4 linked regions of the Zea mays genome follow. The protein of the gene in region 1 binds, or shares a complex with, the protein of each later gene. Links are inferred from orthologs where the notes say so. Each region holds a gene or a part of one and is shown on either strand. Other genes may lie near its edges.

What was found. The genes of interacting proteins can lie anywhere in the genome.
Region 2: 30S ribosomal protein S13, chloroplastic-like (region 1) and 30S ribosomal protein S6, chloroplastic-like share a complex: the UniProt entries of both Arabidopsis thaliana proteins name them as parts of the 30S ribosomal subunit. The link is inferred for Zea mays from reciprocal best matches to the Arabidopsis thaliana genes EMB3137 and AT1G64510.
Region 3: 30S ribosomal protein S13, chloroplastic-like (region 1) and rps8 share a complex: the UniProt entries of both Arabidopsis thaliana proteins name them as parts of the 30S ribosomal subunit. The link is inferred for Zea mays from reciprocal best matches to the Arabidopsis thaliana genes EMB3137 and rps8.
Region 4: 30S ribosomal protein S13, chloroplastic-like (region 1) and 30S ribosomal protein S10, chloroplastic share a complex: the UniProt entries of both Arabidopsis thaliana proteins name them as parts of the 30S ribosomal subunit. The link is inferred for Zea mays from reciprocal best matches to the Arabidopsis thaliana genes EMB3137 and AT3G13120.

Annotation. Positions count from the first base shown.
Region 1 is NC_050096.1:271,763,189-271,766,578, reverse strand, and holds 30S ribosomal protein S13, chloroplastic-like, read right to left. Parts: upstream 2,244-3,390; 5' UTR 2,127-2,243; coding exon 2,031-2,126; intron 1,437-2,030; coding exon 1,197-1,436; intron 917-1,196; coding exon 740-916; 3' UTR 501-739; downstream 1-500. UniProt on the Arabidopsis thaliana protein: Located at the top of the head of the 30S subunit, it contacts several helices of the 16S rRNA.
Region 2 is NC_050096.1:303,987,573-303,991,091, reverse strand, and holds 30S ribosomal protein S6, chloroplastic-like, read right to left. Parts: upstream 2,056-3,519; 5' UTR 1,941-2,055; coding exon 1,518-1,940; intron 871-1,517; coding exon 625-870; 3' UTR 501-624; downstream 1-500. UniProt on the Arabidopsis thaliana protein: Binds together with bS18 to 16S ribosomal RNA.
Region 3 is NC_001666.2:77,988-80,116, forward strand, and holds rps8 (ribosomal protein S8), read right to left. Parts: upstream 912-2,129; coding exon 501-911; downstream 1-500. Other genes in the region: infA (translation initiation factor 1), read right to left, coding at 98-421; rpl14 (ribosomal protein L14), read right to left, coding at 1,051-1,422; rpl16 (ribosomal protein L16), read right to left, coding at 1,532-1,933. UniProt on the Arabidopsis thaliana protein: One of the primary rRNA binding proteins, it binds directly to 16S rRNA central domain where it helps coordinate assembly of the platform of the 30S subunit.
Region 4 is NC_050096.1:24,109,414-24,113,412, reverse strand, and holds the start of 30S ribosomal protein S10, chloroplastic, read right to left. Parts: upstream 2,801-3,999; 5' UTR 2,683-2,800; coding exon 2,497-2,682; intron 2,313-2,496; coding exon 2,256-2,312; intron 2,250-2,255; exon of another isoform or gene 1-2,249.

The DNA.
Region 1 (3,390 bases):
TTTATTTGAGTGGTGGATAGAGCGCGCGGGCGCGGCGGCCCGGGTGCCGCCGGATGGGGGAGCAGGTGGTGGTGTCCGTGCACCGGTGCAAGCTTCGGCAAATAGCACACCACGGGATCACAAATTCACAGTCATCCGTCATCCGTGCTCTGCAAGTTGGGGGCTGATGAATGCCAGGAAACCTTAATGGCTTCAATCAAGTGATTCAAATCATCTTTATTTGAAACCAAACACAATTTAACCATCGTCCTTATCAAGAAAAAAAACATAACCATCGACGGGTAGCCAAAACTTGTTTTTTCAACTACATTTGTTAAGGGGAGAGATCTCGAATCATAACTCTTCGCCACATGATCATCTCGTGCAGGGATGAAAACAGGTATACCAGTGGCAGGTGAATAATCCCCAGAACACTGGATCTGGTAAATAGTAATTCGTCAGGAGCAGTCTGGACTCCTTGCATCGAGCATAGGTTGGGACAGAGGAATACAAATGGATGTAAACAAGAATTTGATCTTCATTTATAGAACCGACCCATATGAGCTAGTATGTCATTGCTACAAAATCTGCAGCAGCTGATGGCTACCCCATGATTTGTCAATGGCAGCATAAAAGCTCGAAACAAAACACCCAGCAGTAGTAGCGCTACACACACACACACACACACACACACACACAGAGAGAGAGAGAGAGAGAGAGAGAGAGAGAGAGAGAGAACTTCAATACATGGCAATACGATTTATTCATCCTGGGAGGCGGGTGACTTCTTCTTGGCAACTGAAGCCCTCTTTCCCTTAAGTGTCCGGCAGTTGTTCTTTGTCCTCTGGCCACGAACTGGGAGTCCAAGCTTGTGCCGGATGCCCTTGTAGCACCTAATCTCCTTCAGCCTCTCAATCGCCACACGGTTGAAACGTTTCTGTAAAGCATACCAAACAGCAGTGTGCCAGCTCTCAGCGTTTTCACTCCCTTGGAGTCCAACATCGATATAAAACTAAACAGTTAGGACAGTCAGGAATCATCTATGACTAAGGAAGTGAAATTAAATACGCAGACCTGCAGAATGAACTTCAAAGCTTTCAAGGAATCATTGATATGTTAACTAAGTAACTATGGTAACCATACAAGTCGTTAATCATCATGAACTACTGAATCAAATAACTGCAGCGAATAATCGACAAAGGGATCAGGGACGTTACAAGGTCTCCCTCAATCATGTACTTGCCAACCTCCTTACGGAGGGTGATGACCTCCTCCTCGGAGAGGTCCTTGGTGATCTTGTTATCGAAATTGAGGTCCAGGAGGATCTGGCGTGAGCGTGAGCGTCCAATGCCATGTATGTACTGCAGCGAGTACTCCACCCTCTTGTGGTTTGGAATCTCAACACCACCAATACGGATGCACTCGATCCGCAAGCCACCGTGACCGATTCCTCCCTTCTGTCAGGCCACCCAACATACAGCACAATCAAAAACCGCAAAATAAACCACCAACATGAGCCTGGGTATGAAGGGTCATTCAGATGGGGATAAATTAATGATGTATCGAAGTTCATGTTTGTGTCGTATTCAGGCTGTGCGCACAATGCAACAGCGATAATAAACAACAGCTCCTATAATCAGGTTCAGAATTTCAGATCCACATCAAAAGTCTAAAGAAACATCCTTTTCTTTGCTACTAGAATCAGTCATACTGCTGTACCATGAAACACTAGCATTACTGACAATGCGCTAGAAAATTCATATGCATGAACCAACACGCGCCATTTCCTACCAATGTATTGAAAATTAGCAGTTCACAGAAGACCATCCTTCCAACGCTCCTGACACGACCATCCCAAGTAGGCCTTGTTTTTGGATACTCTCGTATTCAGCACAATCAATATGTATTGATATAGATTAGAGTGAAACTAAAAAACTAATTTACACCCCATTCCAACAAGGCCGTACAGGGTTAGAAAAACAAGACACCCCAATCAGACAAGCTCCCTGGACGCAGGGGGGTATAGGGGTATAGCAGAAGGCGGCACTAACCTTAGCGGGGAAGGATGCGGAGGAGCTGCGGCCCCGGGTGGAAAGGGACAAGGAGGAGGGTGCGATGGGGACGGAGACCATGGAGAGGGTCGCCATTTTTGCTCTCCTGTGGAGCCGCGCGGAGGGCGAGAGGCCTGTGCGTCCCCGGTCTATCGGATAGAAAACCCAAGGGCGGATGATGATAAGGTTGCGTATGCGTAGGCAACCTTCGATGACCTAGTGGCCTTTCCCTATGTGTGTTTTGGACTCGTTGGCCCAATAGAAAATATAACTTTTTTCTACTCGTTCGTTCTAAAATAGTATTTCCTCTCTTCTAAATTAAAATTTATCTTATATTCATACAATATTTAATGTATGTATTTTAAAAGTGTCTAGATTTATCTTTATTCATTTAAATATAGACATAAACACTGAGAACTAAAACAACACATATATAAAGTAAACCCTTCAGATCTTTGATGAATCCAGCATTAGTCTACAACGAATTTTATTTTGGTACAGAGGGAATATTATTTAAGATGAGTATATATATAATGCATCAGTTTAAAATTTACAAAACCCACCAGGCAAATCATATACACACATAAGTACATAACCTCTATTGACTAGCCCTAAGGGCTAGTTTAGAAACTTAAATCTTCTCCTTGATTCCCGAGGATTCCCCTCAATCCCTAAGAACCTCAGAGGTGATTTAAGTTTCCAAACTAGCCCTAAATATTCCAAACAAATTATATCTAGACTTAACACACCATCAAAATCCATAGTTCATATTGCTGGATAACTCTCTCTCCCTTAGAGATGGCAATGGGTACCCGCGACCCGATACCCGATGGGTATTTACTCCATTAGGGTATGTATGTGGCTAAATATTCTACCCGTGGGTCTGTTATTGGGCAAAAATCTTCACCCAATGGGTAAACGGGTATTAGAACGTTCCGCCTTCACCCATACCCGTTAACCCGTGGGTATAAAATACCCAATATAAACTTAGCCCAAGTATGAACTTTGACTTTAGTCATCCATCTTTTTTACTATTTAACAACCTTTTAGGCCATAATGTCATAGAAGGCTTAACGACAATTTAATGACCATGTAATGTGCTATGTAGTATTATCCTAGTGTTACTACTTTATCCAATTATCTTTGGTGTGTTGAATGGATGGTTAAATGATACTAGAAATTTTGTAATGGTATTTAGATGGATATACTTGACATTTTTATCATATAATATTTTGATAGATGTTTAGCTTTTGTGGGTACGGGTGACCCGATGGGTGACCCATACCCACATGAGTAAGGGTATGAGGGTAAATCCATACCCGCCAGTGTATATGGGTGACCCGATGGAGTTATTTTTGTG
Region 2 (3,519 bases), about 32 Mb from region 1:
TCCATGGCTGACAGATTTTGGATTGCTGGCGTCTGTTCTGGTTTGTGTTGTGCTTTGTGTCTTATCTTCCGAAGTTTCCTGTTCCTGCTCGAGAAATCCGAAAGCCAATCTGCGTTCTGCATCATGTCATGTCCTAGTGTCGTACTGTTTAGTTATATGCCGAGAACATCTCTTTCATCAAATGAATATTTGGAAACACCAACGCACTTGACGCTAAATGGGAATGAAGTGTGGAGTATTTAAACGCCTCTGAAATCAAATGAAAGTTGTACTTGTACGAATCTCTTCCACAAATTGCACTGTATATGCTTGTACTGTTGCAGATTTACGATGGGTTTGGACTGTTCTCCATCCCCGGAGCGCGCTCAGGCTCGACGCTACCTAGCTACGGACCTTTATTTTTGGTACCTGATGAAACATGATGGTTTTAGGAGGCGCGGTGTTTCTCTGGCGAACGATGGCCGGACGTCCATTTTCGAGAACCACAAGACAAGAAACATATTCAAAAAAAAAAAACTCAACAATCATGGCAAAGGTGGATTCTTGTACAGCAGATTTCTTGTAGTATGGTATGTGAACAAAACAGTGTTCAGGGCCTGAAGGCGGAGGAGGCAACCCGTCTAACTAGACGGCCTTCCGCTGGCGGACCTTGAAGCTGGTGGAGCGGATGACGTCGTCGTCGGCGTTGAGCTTAAGCTGCAGGGCGTCCATGGACTCCGGCTTGGTGAAGTAGGTGATGAGGAGGTAGATGCCGTCGTAGTAGGTGGACGGCAGCCCGGTGCGGCTGTTCCTCTTCCTGATGCTGTATGCCAGCGGGATGACACCGCGGTTGAAGACCTCCACGTACATGGCGCCGCCGGCGACGAGCAGCTGCAGCACAGGAAAACACCAAGCTGAGCTGGATTGGAATGGTACGCAGATGGCATGTGACTGATAACAGCGATTAAGGGCCCGTTTGGAACTAACAAATTGTTAGCTAGGTTAAACCAGCTAATGGACTGATTGTTAACTCACAAATTAGCTGAGTTATTAGGTAGGGGGTGTTCAAACCTCTACTGCTATATATTCAAGCTGTTCACCTGTCTTTAATCCGAAACGGTTTCTTGTCTCTATATATTACCGCCGCAGCATCTGACTTCAATGTGAACAAACTGATTAGCTCTAGACTAGAGTGAGTTTCTAACAGAAACAGTGCCTAACATACATGGTGAATTCAGGATAGGATGGCAATTAACTATGGCGGATCCACTTTTATACGTTTAGAAATCCTAATATTTATTGGATGAAATTCGAAACACTCGGAACCCTTTTAACATTCGTCTCGCATTGCTCAAGTATGATACCAGCCTGTCCAGAAATTATCATCTGTCTGCTCTCTCTGCCATCGGAACAGCAAATGGTAGCGAGATATGCAAGAGGCAGAGGTGAGCCGATCGAGCCGTGCCCGTGTTACGCTGCTCCATCCATCCAGTTAGCTATAGTGGCAGCCAAACGGAGCGGAGGCAAACGCAAATTACCTCCTCGTAGCGCTGGATGAAGGCGAGGCGCTCCTCCTCGGACATGTCGGGGCGGAGCACGACCATGGTCTCGTACTGGCGGAGGCCGGGTGGGCAGGGCGGCATCTCGCGCTCCTCCAGCGCCAGCGCGGCTTCCGCGGCCGACATCCCGAGGCCGCCGCCGCCCAGCCCTAGCCCCGGGCCGAACCCCGACTCGTAGCCGACCTCCTCCTCCTCGTCCGCGCCGCCGGCCGCGGACATCGCCGAGCCGCCGTAGAAGGACGCCGCGTACCCAGTGGAGACCGCGCGGGGGCGGGCGAAATGGGAGGGGGCGGGGGAGGGGAGGCGAAGCAGCATCGCAGCGGGCGGGCAGGAGCGGAAGGGCGGCAGCGCGGCGGACGCGGATGCGGAGGAGAGCGGCAGCAGTGCCATGGGTGGCGGCATTGGAGGGGCCAAGGGGAGCCGAGCGGCAGGGGGGCGACGAGCGCGAGCAGGACAGGAGCCGGAGAGCGGGAGGAGGCGCTGACGCTGTTGGCGTCGCGTCCACTCGATAGATAAGGATAGGACGCCACGCCCTGTTTGGAGTTTGCACGGATTTTCATATTGGTGGAAAAACGGCCGGGTTGCCAGTTAAACCAAAATTGTTTACAACGTTAACTTTGTGTGTATTTCAACTATATGTAGTTATGCATTTCTTCTATGTTTTATGTGTATGATTCTTTTGTTGTCATATACGCAGCATGTATGTTTTCCTTTATTTACCCATAGAAAAAGTATAAATTATTCTTTTAATTATACTAATTGATTATCTAAGTTTGCTGTCCAAAGATTTAGGCAGCTAAAATACAATATCAACAGCGGACCTATATTTTTTTAAAAAAATCTCGAACAGTTGAATTGACTAAATATAGAGTAGACCTAATCTTCTCTGTATACGAGATATAAGGGGCCTGTTTGGTTCAGTTTTTTTCTGACCAGCTTTTCTGAAAATCTGGCTGTAAGGAGAATCTGGCTGTGGGGAGAATCTGAGTATCATTACGATTACGTGTGGAGGAAAATAAAGTTGTTCATAGGACTCAGGATCTAGAAAGTGATGAATTCATACTATTACAACGACTTAACCGATTATGTGTTTATATTGATTTTGGATGGTTTTTGTCCCAACGAATTTTATAGAAGCTGGCTGAAAAGCTGAGCGTTTGGCAATCCGCAGCAGCTTTTGGTGGCCAGAAGCTGCTAGAATCCGAAACAAACAGGACCAAGATAAAAGATCTAGTGAATTTGAACACCGAAAAACTTTGTGTGAAGGTCTGAAGACATTCTATTGTAGGTCAATTTGACAGGACTTCGACTCTACTTTCTCACGACTTCTTAAAGGGGCCAATAGCCGAAAACAACTCCTTGTAGAGCTCAAAAAGTCAAAGTCATTTTTTATAAAAGAGACACGATGCTGAAATATGGCTTTTATTTTTGGATTTTTTAAGCTTTTGCTCCAAGTTTTGCTGGTGTTCTCATTTTTACCCTTAGTCGTGTTTTTTTACTTAGTTTTGTCCTTCTAGTGTTATAGAGTAGTAGGGCAAAACTAAGAAAAAACACGACCAAGGTTAAAAATAAGGAATGAAGCAAAACTAAGGGTACAAATTTAAATAGCCCATTTTTTTACTTACAAAAACTTCAGCTTCATAGAAGGTACTCTACTGACAATAAAATAAGGAGCTAGAGCCCTTCTAAAAGGAGCCATATCAAATGAAACAACAGTATGAGTTTATTTGAGATTCACTAAAAATAATTTAAATTTTTGAAAAACTTTGTCAAACGATCTAGATCCACTAAATTTATATTTACCAAAATGGGGGATCTAAAGGCTAGATCCACTCTCTTGGTGAAGCTTCTCAATGGAAGCTCCAACAACATAAGTTTGATAGAGTTGAGAAAAGTTATCGACCACTACCATCGATTACAGTCCAATTCTTTCTAATTTTTCCACCTCTCTTCTTCTCCCGTCACACATCTTCTCTCTTCT
Region 3 (2,129 bases), on another chromosome or scaffold:
TGGGTATTCCTTTCTTAAACTATGAATCTATTCTTTTGGAAAAAATAAGTCTCTTCACTTAAATTTTGAAACTTGGAAGTTATTACCCCAGAAAAACCTAATCCTTTGAATCTTTGGTATCCTTCAAATCTTCAGTATCCTTCGAGTCTTCGGTACGCTTCGAATCCTTATGGGGAAGTCTATAAATTATACGACCTTTGCTGGAATCATAACGACTTATTTCAATTTTGACCCTATCCCCCATCAGTATTCGTATAGAACTAGACCGGATCTTTCCTGAAATATAGCCCAGGATGATGGTGTCATTCTCTAGGCGAACGCGGAACATTCCGTTGGGTAGGGCTTCCGTAACTAAACCTTCGAAAGTGACTTTTGCTTCTCTCGGGTTTTTTTTTTCTCTACTATTTTTTTTTTCTGTCATATATTTTTCTCCTATTTTTCTATTTTTATTTTCAAAATAGGAAGTTCGAGATAGAATTTGGGTACTATAGGTGGGGCCATTACCATATATAACATAAAACTTCTCCCCCAATTCTGTTTAGTCGAGCTTCTCGATCTGTCATTATACCTCGAGAAGTAGAAAGAATAGCAATTCCCATTCCGCCCAAAACCTTAGGAATTCCTTGATAGTTGGCATAAATTCGTAAGCCAGGTCGGCTGATACGCTTTAAAAAGGTTCTAGTTCTATATATTCCCTTTCTAGTCTTTCTCCTTTGATGTCGCAAAGTTGAAACCAAGAAATATCTGTTACTTTCCTGATGTTTCCGAACACTTTCAATAAAACCCTCTCGTAGAAGTATTTTAACAATGTTTTCGGTAATATTTGTGGATACTACTCGAACAGTTCCTTTTTTATTCATGTCTGCGTTTCTTATAGAGGTTAGTAAATCAGCAATAGTGTCCTTGCCCATAAGACTCTAATTCTAGGTTCCTCCTAATTTTTCTATAATCAACATGTTTTCCCTTTTCTTTAAATTTAGGATTTTAAAGCATATACGTGAGACAAAATCTACTAATTTTTTCTTTGATCTATATCTCGTCTACTAGTATTTATAATACTTCAGGAGCTAATGAAACTATTTTAGTCAAATTCAATTCTCTTAATTCTTCGGCAACCGCGCCAAAAACTCGAGTTCCTTTTGGATTTCCTTTTTGATCAATGATAACTGCTGCATTGTCATCATAGCGTATTATTATACCGTCGTCGCCTTTGAATTCTTTACGTGTACGTACAATTACAGCTCGAATTACTTCGGATCTTTCTAGAGGCATTTGGGGCACTGCGTCTTTGATTACAGCAATAATAACATCACCAATACGAGCATATCGCTGATTACCAGCGGCTCCTATGACTCGAATACACATCAATTTTCGAGCTCCACTGTTATCTGCTACATTTAAAAGGGTCTGAGGTTGAATCATATTATTTGGATTTCCATTTGTTATTTCAATGCAAAAGGATGAAAGAAATATTGTCTTTCCAGAAAGAAAAACCAGGGGTTTTTTATCTTCAATATTCCTTTTTGGGGTTCTATATCTCTAATCGAAGAAATTGACTTCGTATGGGCATTTTACTGGCAGCTATAGAGATAGCTGCTCTAGCTACAGTTTCGGATACTCCGCTCATTTCATAAAGTATTCGACCTGGTTTAACAACGGCTACCCAATATTCGGGGGATCCCTTTCCCGAGCCCATACGTGTTTCTGTGGGTCTTATTGTAACCGGTTTGTCGGGAAATATACGCACCCATATTTTTCCACCACGACGTGCATATCGTGTCATTGCTCTTCGTCCTGCTTCTATCTGTCTCGCGGTGATCCAAGCGGGTTCAAGTACTTGAAGAGCATATCTACCAAAACAAATATGATTGCCTCGGCAGGATTTTCCCTTCATTCTTCCTCTATGTTGTTTACGAAATCTAGTTCTTTTGGGGTTATAGTCGATGGTTCCTTCTTAGTTCCATCTCTACTACAAAACTGGACATGAGAGTTTCTTCTCATCCAGCTCCTCGCGAATGAAATGAGAAGCGTGCGAATGTCATTTCTCTAATTCCATAATATTCAAAAATATTATAGATAGATACACATCAATATATAATAGAAAAAGTTAGGTTTTTTTGATTTTGACT
Region 4 (3,999 bases), about 250 Mb from region 1:
ATTGCAGAGTGCCTGTCTTAAGACCATCCATCAGACTTTGTCTGGTCACACGGTAGATGATACTCCTATTTTGTCTTCCACATCAATGAAACCATGCTGATTAATCCTTTCCATGTAATCATTTACGGAATGATCTCCAATTCTACGTTCCAGCTTAAACCTTCCAGAAAGGTTAATAGCTTTAGATATACCGTGAATTCGTGATACATGGATGTATAGAGGATAACCACATTTTCTCCTTTACTGTGGCCAGCAATAGCATGGGTGTCACGTTTGTGTTTTTGAAATGCAGGATCGCATCACATAAAACGTCCACTTCGTTATAGTAACCTTATCCAAAAGTACCTTCGCTTTCTCCATTACCAGAATAATCAAAACACATATGCTGACATTTTCTGATGTTAATGCATCAGCGAGACTTAACATAATTCTACCTTCCTTTGATGATCTAAATCTGTGACACAACACTACAAGGCCCTTAGATCCAGCTTCATGCAAAACACCAACAAGTATCTCTCCGTATCTGTTTATTATCACCATTTCCTCTTGTGATACATCTAAAGAAAATAAGAATCACTATGGGAGGATCCCAACTGTGCACAAGGCCTTGTAAAAATTTCGTTTTCAGCACTTCCATACAACAACTGCAGACAAATATTTACGATGGACATGCTTAACAAGCAGAACTGCAGAAGCATGAAGCAAAGTAAACATAAAACTACAAGGAGTAGCCTCAATGACAGATTATACAGTGTTAGCTCTATTTAATTTTACTACTTAATAGCCATTTTGGACATGGATCTTCAAAACACACCTTTGTCCTGTTTACAATTTGACCATTTCCATGTGAGAAAAGTAAATAAGTTTATACAAGTTTAAAAGGCTGAGCACACACATTGACATTATATATTTTAGAATGAAGGAAGCATCTCAACTCGACTCCAACAGTTCAATGACAGTACCATGGAGGTTCCTAGGGAGACAAGCAAGAGGAATTGCATAACTTGTCAAATTGTAAACACAACAACACAGTTAGATATTGCTAACTGTTCAGGGGAACACACTGACTACCACAGTGGGCGCAATTACAGCGAGGTAAAGACAATAAGGAATTCATGGTCCATGGTTGCTGAGCGCTTGAGACAACTGCTGTCTTTTTTTTTTTTGCTTTCTTTCGATGGCCAAATGATACTAGGCTTCAGTCATGAGTCAGTATGTCACAGCCTCACAGGCCTAAATATGGGCCACCATGTCGGGCCTAGTGGCCCAACTGAGGCCCAACACCAGGCCCTGATGAGCCGCGGCCTCTACTGCCCCTAGAATCCCTCCCGCACTGGAGAATCCGGAATAGATGGAAACTCAAAGGTAATCTTCAATAAGCTTGGAATAAATAAAATATAGCTTGTTTAGAAAATAATGATAGAGTTTGTTTAAGAAAGAAGATTGGTTTGTTAGGAAACAAGATTACAAATCTATAAGAATGATGCTTGGGATACAAGTCCTATAGGAACTATAAATAATTAAATATAGGGGCAAATAACTATTTCAGTCTAAGCAAGAATAGAGTTATTGCTCCCTCCCTCCCTCTCCCTATGCTGCCCCTCCCCCTCTCCCACGCCGTCCACCATTTTTCAAGTACGTCAAATAATTCCAAGGAGGAACAGAGCATTAATAGGCAGAAAACTTTGAAAGTTTGATCCAGCAAGCTTTCAACTGCTAAGTAGAATCTGGAAAGCTAAACCACCATAGACCCTCAGATATCCTCATTCTAGTCTGATAGGAATGATTTAAAGGACAAACGAAATGAATTTCCCACATAGTCTCTTCAATCATGTGCTGGTAACTATGCATGGCTTAAGCATTAAGGATGCTAAACTGTCTAACGTGATATGGACTTCTACAAAAACATACATTTTTGAAGTCCAAGTCACACTCACGTTAAGAACAGTTTACACTAAGATTAACGGCTTAAACGAATGTGCTGACTGATATTGTCTAGCATCATTGCATTGCGTCCTGAACGATTTCTAAATGCCATTTACACAAATACCCAGAGCACATCGTGCTCTCCATTTATTGTGATTAAACAATCACAAGTAAAATGTGCACTGCTATGCAGCAATAAAAGAGAAACATGTTGTATGGTTTATGGTTATAACTTTTCACAGTTCATTCGATCAAGGAAGCAACAATATCAGAACAAAAGATTCGGTAACATAATAATCTGGGAAATTTTTAACTGCTATGGAAGGTACCTGCTCCCCATCATCCCCAATCGACGATGGCAACGGAATTCCCGTTCCTGCCCCTTCCTGAAAGCGCGAGGTTAACAATTTTAGTCACCGAATGAACAAGGTCTAACGAGTGTGCCAACTGAACCAATGTCGCCATGTAATTGTAACCCCCATAACCAAGCGGTACACGCCATCATGAAATTCGCAGGTTTTGGACTCTGCGTGTGCGAAAAGACACGGCAATATCAGTTCAGTCACGTACCGGTGGCGCGTCGGGGATGCCGTCGTCAGAGAGGGTCTCTGCGGGCGGTGCGGCCGCGGCCCGGGAGCGGAGGGACGCGCCGCGGAGGGAGGACGGGAAGGAGAGAACCGAGGGGCTAGAGTTTGCGGTGCAGCGATGGAGGAAGAGGAGGGGGAGCGGGGAGGAGGTGGAGGTGGGGACGGCCATGGCGAGGGGAGGGGGGGTGAGGAAGCCGTTTGCCGCGTTGGGTTTTGGAAGACCTCTGCTTCGCTATCGCGGTGTGTTATCCGGTTCCAGGGGCATTTGCGCTCGAGCCCCTCCAGCTTTGTTACTTTCAAAGCGAGGTGTCTGGTGGCAAACATGGGCGAGTTCTGTCTCCTCTAGCATTACTTTCGAAGAAGATCATGAATGATTTGTTCGGAAAGGAAGATCGTGGAATTGGATATTACTGTGACCTCAGCTAAAAGTGTCGATCTGGCTGGCATAAACTTGATCGTTTCAAGGAACAATCAGTTACCTTCTTCTTGCCTGGATAGACTGTCCATACCAGCGCTCAAATAGGAGAAGCTACATTCACAGCTCCTGGCACGAGGCAAAAGAAATACAGAATGATGAGCCATAGAGGTGGCCAAACTAACTCTACTACAGACATACATCTACAGAGCACCAGCTATTCACTTCCCTTCTTTATCCCGGCCATCACCACAATCCCCAGCACTCCTTTTTCCCAATCCCCTTGAGAGCAGCTACAAGATCTAAGCCCGACTGCTGCCCACGAAGCCTTGAATATGATGGAACGGTTGCAGTAGCAGCCCCCCCCCCCCCCCCCCCCCCCCCCCCCCCCCCCCCCCCTGGTTAAGCTGCCTGCTGGTGCTGGGAGATGGAACTGTATTTGATTTGTTCGACAATCGATCACCAAAAGTTGGTTTCGCTGTGATGACTGTTCTATCAGAATTCATAGCACGTGATGCCTCATTAAGGTTGAATCCATGAACGTTCGTCTTGTCCCGATCAGATTTAGGAGAGGTTGAGAAAGGGGAATTTGGTGACTTCTGTGAGAGCAGTAACCTTACAGATCTCTGCCAGAGTTTTGCGCTTGTCCTCAAGCTGACAAACATGCCAGATTTAGCAGCAGCAGATAAGCACTTATTAACAACCACCTCACCAATATGAGCTGCAAGTTCCTTAAGAGTCGACATACAATATTTCAAAAACGGAGATTGGTTTTCTGCATAATGCTACAGTAAGTTCAGATCATCTGACACCTGAGCAAATTTATTCACCTAGAGCAAGCTGCAAAAATCGGGGCATATGAATAGCTATTGAGTTGCTGTTAAGTGGTTGACTCAGTTTCAGAGATTCGCCAAGCATTTTGATGCATTTTCCTATCTCTTTTGAGGAAGATTGCTAGGTGTAGAGATTTCCTGTTCACATAGAAGACAGAAGGTGAATTGGTTGTGATTGATAAAATTAGTGTGACATGAATAGTATACCAAGTTTCAGATATTTGCCAGGTACTTTTAA